Nothobranchius furzeri: one gene and its partner. The protein of the gene in region 1 purifies or fractionates together with the protein of each later gene. This does not show direct contact. Links are inferred from orthologs where the notes say so. Each region holds a gene or a part of one and is shown on either strand. Other genes may lie near its edges.

Region 1 (4,261 bases):
GAGTAGACCTTTCCAGGGAGGCTGAGGAGTGTGAACCCCCTGGCGCCTGACAGTTTGCCAGAACCACTTTGGAGCCGATCGATAGTCTTTGTCCATGGCCTCACCAAACTCCTCCCACGCCCGAGATTTTGCCTCGGCAACTGCCACTGCTGCACCCCGCTTGGCTTGGAGACCCACAGACCAACCACGTTCTGTAGGTCTCCTTCTTCAGCCTGACAGCTCCCCGAACCTCTGGTTCAAAGCTTTCAGCAGCTTTCGGGACACCTCTGTGTTCCACCCGGTTTTACCCAGCGGTCAGATCAGCGTATCTCTGACTCAGAAGCTCTGGTGTTGTGCACAGTTAACTCCGGTTGTAGCTAGGTTGCTACCTCTGTTAGCTTAGCACCCACCTCCACGTTAGCTTTGGGTTAGTTTCAGGTTAGCTTGTAGCTAGTTCGACCGAGTGTCGTTAGTTGAGCCCAGCCTTACAGCCACACCCTCAGCTCCACCTCTCTTCCCTTTTGTGGAATTGTCTGGGCTTGACGGAACCCGTAACACGGTCAAAATGGCGGTGGTGGCAACCTCCCATTTAGCCTCAAAAACGTGTTATTGGAGTCTATGGAAATGAATTGTCCAGTATATATGTCGATGGCCCCAACCCCAGGCCTGGCTCCAGGGTGGGACCCCGGTAACCCTCCGGGCCGGGTACTCCGACTCCTTGATGGTTCATCCATGAAAGATCCTTTGAACCGTTCTTCGTCTCACCCTTCACCTAAGACCAATTTGTCATGGGAGACCCTACGAGGGGTACAAAGTGCCCCAGACAACATAGCTCCTAGGATCATTAGGGCACAAACTCCTCCACCACGATAAGGTGACGGTTCAAGGAGCTTGCAAAAAATCCTTATTGGTGCAATCTACACATCCAAACAGTTAATCAACTTTTAAGTTAGTAATAATTACAAGATGATCGACACAAAAATGTGGATTATTTTAAGTCATCCTTGTAGAGCTTTGGCATCCAATAAACCAAAAATATTAACATTTTCTTGAGCTATATTTACTAAGGTCTTTTAAGATGCTTCAAACCTAATCTTTTGACAGTGGCTACTTCTTCACACATACGAAGGCATAAATTGTACAATAGTTTAAGTTCATATTTAGTTACTATGTGATTTCTAGTGTGTCATTTGTAGTAGATCAACCTAGGAACCAACAGCAGCACATTGGGTTGTCTTCAGGGATCTTTTATGTGGTGCTTCAGCAGTACTTCCGGCCCACATGTAAAACAGTACAGCGTGATTTATCTGCAAATAATACATTATTATTCTGAGTGTTTCTAATATAATCTTGATTAAACACATCTGCGATCATGAAGCTGCTCACACACAACATGCTGACGTCTCACGTAAAGGGAGTCACGAAAGGATACCCGCTGCTCATAAAGGTAAACGGTGAACATCTGAGTAGCATAGCGGCTAATGCTAACACGAGTTTCACCGTGATACCCAGGCCTGTCTTCTTCTAAAAACAATGAAATACATTTGTAGATATCTCTTCTTCGTGTAAACAAACATTACTGAGTTAAAATGTTTTCTGTTAAAACATCCAGGAGGTAAATTTGTGTCATGACTGCATAAGCTTGCACGTAAATCCTAGAAAGTACGTGAAGACATACTTTACATGAAATTAAAGCAAATTAAGGGTTTTGTTTACTTTCAATTGCCGGTTGAGTTGATGTCAGTGGTTGCCTGATGTGACAGCAGAGTCCACCTGACAGCCTGTGTTTTCTCCTAATGCTGTTTGTTCAGGCCACCGAGGTGAAGGTGAACGATGTAGACTTCAACCCTCAGTTTGTCTGCAGGATGATCCCCAAACTGGAGTGGAGTGCTCTGGTCGAGGCTGCAGATCTGGTGAGTAAACAGGTTTCTCCTTAAGCTAACCCACGGAGAGCCTCCACCTGCAGCTGTATGCATGCAGACATTTAATACTACACAGATTTATCATACATTTGGTTTTCTTCCTCTTCATAGTTGGGTCATCGACAAGATCTACCGAGTGAGCTGGTGCCAGACTACGAGAAAAATGAGGACTTCCTGAAGAAAGTGCACAGAGCTCTGTTGGAGGTAAAGGTCTCACTGACCTCCTCGTTCCTGTCACCCACATTTAAAAACATTTCAGTTGCAGAACCTGTTTTTCTCTTTAGTATTGACAAAGCGATACAGCCATAAAGTACTCTTAAACAAACTGTTGGAGTCTGGTTGTGTGTATTCAGTCACACTTAATTTTGGACTCAATGGTGCTTTTGTGTTACTGGCTGCAGAAATCTCAGCAGAGCTCCATTTTTATCCTCTAATGAATTCCATGACTTCAGCGCATCCGTTTGGCTCAGGATGGCGTTATGTGGAGGTCTACCGTTGGGACTGAAGAAGTTTTATACTTTTCTAGCTCACTTTAAACTATATCCTCTGCAAAACATTACACAGACACACTTTTACTCTAATTATGATCTTGGTGCGTTATAACTGGAGGGATTTTCTTAGAGGTTTTGGCTGCAGAAGTTTTCTCTTGTACTGCAAAGTTGTAAACACTTTGTTTTCCACAATGTGGTTCCATTGTTTCACAGATGACTTCCTGTGTGACCAACAGGATGATGGCATGTAAAACCACATTAACATGACCAACAGGATGATGGCATGTAAAACCACATTAACACAGATTAGTGCAACACAAAAATTAGCCTTAAAGGGGACTTATATTTTTCTTAAGTTATAATAGTTCAATAGTTGATACAAAGCATGTTTATGAAGTTCATTTCACTACATTCCTCTAACATAAAGCAATTTCAGCAGTTTTAATTTTGGCAGTTTCAGTACCTTCCAGAATGAGCCGTTTCAGGGTCAGAGTCTTTTTAAGGTGCTGGCGATACCCACCCATCTCCTGCTCCTGCTGCTATAAGCTGAAAAGCTTCAATTCCTGGTAGAGGCTTGGAGGAAAGCCGCTTTGATCTCCAAATCTGTAAATGTGTCCTAAATTAAACATTTTTCCGCTGCCATGGCTTCCCCATTTCTAAAATGCTCTTGGTTCAAAGTTTGCTTAAAGTTGTCACATATTTCCATCAAGTGTTTCTTCATAAATCACAAAGTTTTTGTGGAAACACGCAGTTTTCAGACCCCCGCTTTGTCCGTAGGCAAACTTTATTAATGAGGCCCCTGGTCTTTTTCAGGGATCAGAATGACCCAAACCAACCAACATCCCTCAAACGTGCACCGAAAAGCAATACATATTAGTATCTAGATTAAACTCTATAGCAGCTGTCCCCAACTCCCTTACCCGAGGGTCGGCGTCCAGCACGTTTTACTGTTTCCCTGCTTCAACACACCTGGTTTTAATCAGCAGGTGATTAACGGGTTTCTGCAGAGCCTGATGAGCTGCTGAATTGGTGAATCAAATGTTCTGGATTAGGGAAACAACTAAAACATGCTGGATACCGGCCCTCGGGAAAGGGAGTTGGGGATCACTGCTCGACAGGAAAAACTTTCTAAATGTGTAACCTGCTGGAGACTTTTACATCCCTGCTTGTAGTCTTTTAATGTGGTTGCATTATGTTAGGAAAGAAGCTGTAAACCCACCCACTGGGATCTGAGGTGGCTAAACTTTTGTTTTAGTCTCTTTTATGGTTTCAGCTCAGCCGGAACTAGCACTATAACCCTAACATACGAGGACAATTCTAATCATATTGTGGGTGTTCGTTTTTTCATGTTGTGTGTCTTTCCGTCTGTTGCAGGTGGAGGTGATTGAGGGGTGTCTGCAGTGTCCTGAATCGGGGCGAGAGTTCCCCATCTCCAGAGGAATCCCCAACATGCTGCTGAATGAAGACGAGGTCTAGCCTGCATCATCAGCTCCTGCTCACTAACTCTTCTCAGCGAGGGGATGGACTCTGATTTGTTTTCAGGAAAAATGGGCTACAATTTTCACATGATTATTACATTTTAAGTGGCTCGCGTTGTCAGTGGATGGAAAGGATTTGAAGAATGACGGGTTCCTTGAGAGTAACCCCCTCATGGTTTTATTTGTATTTATTTTTGTTGGTTTTTTTCTCAATAAAAGGTTCAGAGTTTTCTAACAGCCAAAATAATCTGGTTTTAGTGGAAAATATGGATTGACTTCTATTAAAGACGTGCTGAAATCCCAGAGAGACATGCTCTGAACCTCATCTCGCCCTCTCAGCGTTGGATGACGTGGCAGTGGGTCGTCTAAAATTGGCTTTGAGGAAAAAGGC
Region 2 (2,822 bases), on another chromosome or scaffold:
CGCACGCACACACACAGATTCAATAAGCACGCACGCTGCTTTAACTCTGGCGCGCAGTCAGACTGAAGGCAGAAATGAACGCTGCCTCCACCACGATAAAAACTTTTAAGAGGTTATTTTTCATTCAAGGTCAAATAAAGATATTAGCTTCTGGGATGAGTCGGATCCGCTACAGCCAGTGACTCCTCAAGAACCTGACCAGAAGTCCTGTTACTGCAGCATTTGTGATTCCAGTCTGCGTGGCAGCGGATCGCAGATTCAGCCACACCATAAAACAGCAATAAGTCGGTCTGAGGTAAAAGTGAACATCACGGCTATATCTTGTCCCCTATTGACATTTGATTACGCACAAGTAGGTGATCAGCTCAGGTTTATGCAGAGCAGAAGGAAGGAGAGCGCTCTGGCCGCACAGGTTAAACATTCCTACTTTAAGAAAACCGTTAAATTGCATTGTTTATGTGCTACCTGGGCACTCTAGATATTTATTTAAAATGAAATCAAAGGAAATTGTAATGGTGTCAAATGTTTATTATTTACTATTTAAAAAATGAAAGTGATGGGGAATTTTTTTAATGCTGTCTGTTTAGCTTGACATCTGATTATATACATATATATATATATATATATATATATATATATATATATATATATATATATATATATATAGAGCCATGCCCCGATGTGGGGGGGTGCGTCGACATGGTCGGGACATAGAAGGGGGTGCGCGGCTAAACAAGTTTGGGAACCACTGCTCTAGAAAGCTGCAGAAGGCAGAAACGGGACACAATTCTGACTTATTAAACTATTTAAACAACAAAAGTTATTTGTTCCATTTTGCAAGTGAAATCATAATACGACTTTATTGTTTTTAGCCTTTTGACAGCGTTCACAAACAGACTAACGAAGTTTAAATCCTCTTATTGATGATATCGGTTAAAGGTGTGGATTACTAGTTTTACACATACATCTGCAATGGTCTCTAGCAGGAATGAATGCCTTGCAGGTAAAGCTCAGGGCACACATAAGCCCACAAAGCCCTGGTCCAGCAGGACCAGTGTGCAACATCAGAGCTGTACTTCAAACGAGAGGATTTTGATTGGAGGATTTTGATTGGAGGATTTTGAAGTCTTATTTCCTGATATTTAGACATCTTGCCTCGGATTGGATAAAAGCAAGGCGACTCTACCACTAACTCTGGTTGCTCTGGGACATGGATGTTTTATCTCCACAAATAACAAGCCTGGAGGAGCTTCAGCTGTGTGTTTGAGTTGATAATGCTAGCAGTTAGCTTCTTTTGAAAGAAATGTTCTCTGCTGATTTTGGATGCTAAAACAACAACAGCGTTGCCATCATGAGTCAATATGGTTAAGTACATGAATGTTGAGCGACGGTGTGACGTAGATCTGTCAGGTTTTTCAAACGCCAGAGTTTCACCGTCTATTTTCTTATCAGAAGGTAATGCAAGAGATAGGTGTAGGAGACTATTTTAATGGTCAGTCTGCATTAGAGTAACTGATTATATTTTTAAAACTTATCATTTAAAAAAGGTTTTCCAGTCAACCACACCTTTAATAAATACTTTTTTAGACTTCATTTAAAATCCATCCAGAGGCTCATGAGATGTTTTATGTATTGTGCATACCTGGGTGGAGAAATGGTGTATGACTGCTATAGAGATGCAAGCGTCACAGGAGGCTGTTCGGAGGGGGACGCTGAGAGCATCCGATACAAATGCATGGAAGCCCCTGTCTGCACAGATCTGGACAAGAGCGCCGCTGCGATCACATCCCACCTGAGATCACACAAACACACGGTCAGCAGATGGATGCTGAGCATCAAAATGTGTCTGGCTAAAACATGGATGGTTGGAGAGGAAGAATAAATACGAGTTAAGCTTTATAGGATGTCTTCCTGAAGTTATTTTCAACACACATTTAAATTTTAATTAAACCTGGAAGTGTTAAGAGAATTAAATTGCAGAGGAGGTGTGGGGACGGGATCCAGAGCATGAAGAGGATTAAAGAGCAGAAAAATAGGAACAAAGGTGAAGAGGAGACTGGAGGGGGGGGATGATTTATAACAGGGACGGTCTGAGTCAGGATAAGCTGCTTACACGCTTCTCCAAAATCCCAAACGTGAACATCACCGTGTGCATACGTAATCAGAAAATTAGGATATTACCATGGAAACAAAGCTAATGCAAACAATGACATACAGCAGGAGAACATCGGTCTCACTCGCTACTGACAAACTGATCCGTTTTGTTTTTGTTCTGTGGCTCCAGAGCAGCTACCGTCTGACTCACGTGGAACACAACCATGCACAAGTGTGAAATGATGCAAGCATTACACGACTCTGGAGCGCCCCAACTAATATTTTATTTATGACGAGCTAAGCTGCAGCTCTGGATACATCTTTTCCTTCCACTCGTTTGCTCAGAAAAAACAAATCCCAACATTTAAATGAACATTCTGGTGAAACTACCGGTCACTGGGGTATCTCAGACACTCACTGCGACCAGCTCAGGGTTCACGCCCAGGTACTTCCCGTTTCCACAGCCCACGTCGGCCAGCACACTCCCGGGTGCCAGCAAATTCAGGAATTGGCAAACGTGAGGCCAGGGAGAGTGGCGGGTGCTGCTGAAGTGGGAGGCTATGGCGTCGTACACCCGGTGCACATACTCCTCCTCCAAAAGGGCTGCGTCGGCACGACAACAGGGAAGTGACGGGGGAGATGCTGGAGAGGGTGAGGTTGTTCTCTGACTGTCGCAGGCAGAAGGGAAGGCTAGAGGTGGCGACATCAGGGCAGGAAATAAGATCTTT

What was found.
Region 2: the proteins of trmt112 (region 1) and alkbh8 purify together in Homo sapiens (co-immunoprecipitation; 3 studies listed by IntAct, with this or other methods). This does not show direct contact. The link is inferred for Nothobranchius furzeri from reciprocal best matches to the Homo sapiens genes TRMT112 and ALKBH8.

Annotation. Positions count from the first base shown.
Region 1 is NC_091741.1:88,069,702-88,073,962, reverse strand, and holds trmt112 (multifunctional methyltransferase subunit TRM112-like protein), read left to right. Parts: upstream 1-1,223; 5' UTR 1,224-1,351; coding exon 1,352-1,426; intron 1,427-1,790; coding exon 1,791-1,892; intron 1,893-2,012; coding exon 2,013-2,105; intron 2,106-3,766; coding exon 3,767-3,868; 3' UTR 3,869-4,114; downstream 4,115-4,261. UniProt on the Homo sapiens protein: Acts as an activator of both rRNA/tRNA and protein methyltransferases. Together with methyltransferase BUD23, methylates the N(7) position of a guanine in 18S rRNA.
Region 2 is NC_091753.1:35,511,425-35,514,246, forward strand, and holds part of alkbh8 (tRNA (carboxymethyluridine(34)-5-O)-methyltransferase alkbh8), read right to left. Parts: intron 2,785-2,822; coding exon 2,513-2,784; intron 1,793-2,512; coding exon 1,643-1,792; intron 1-1,642.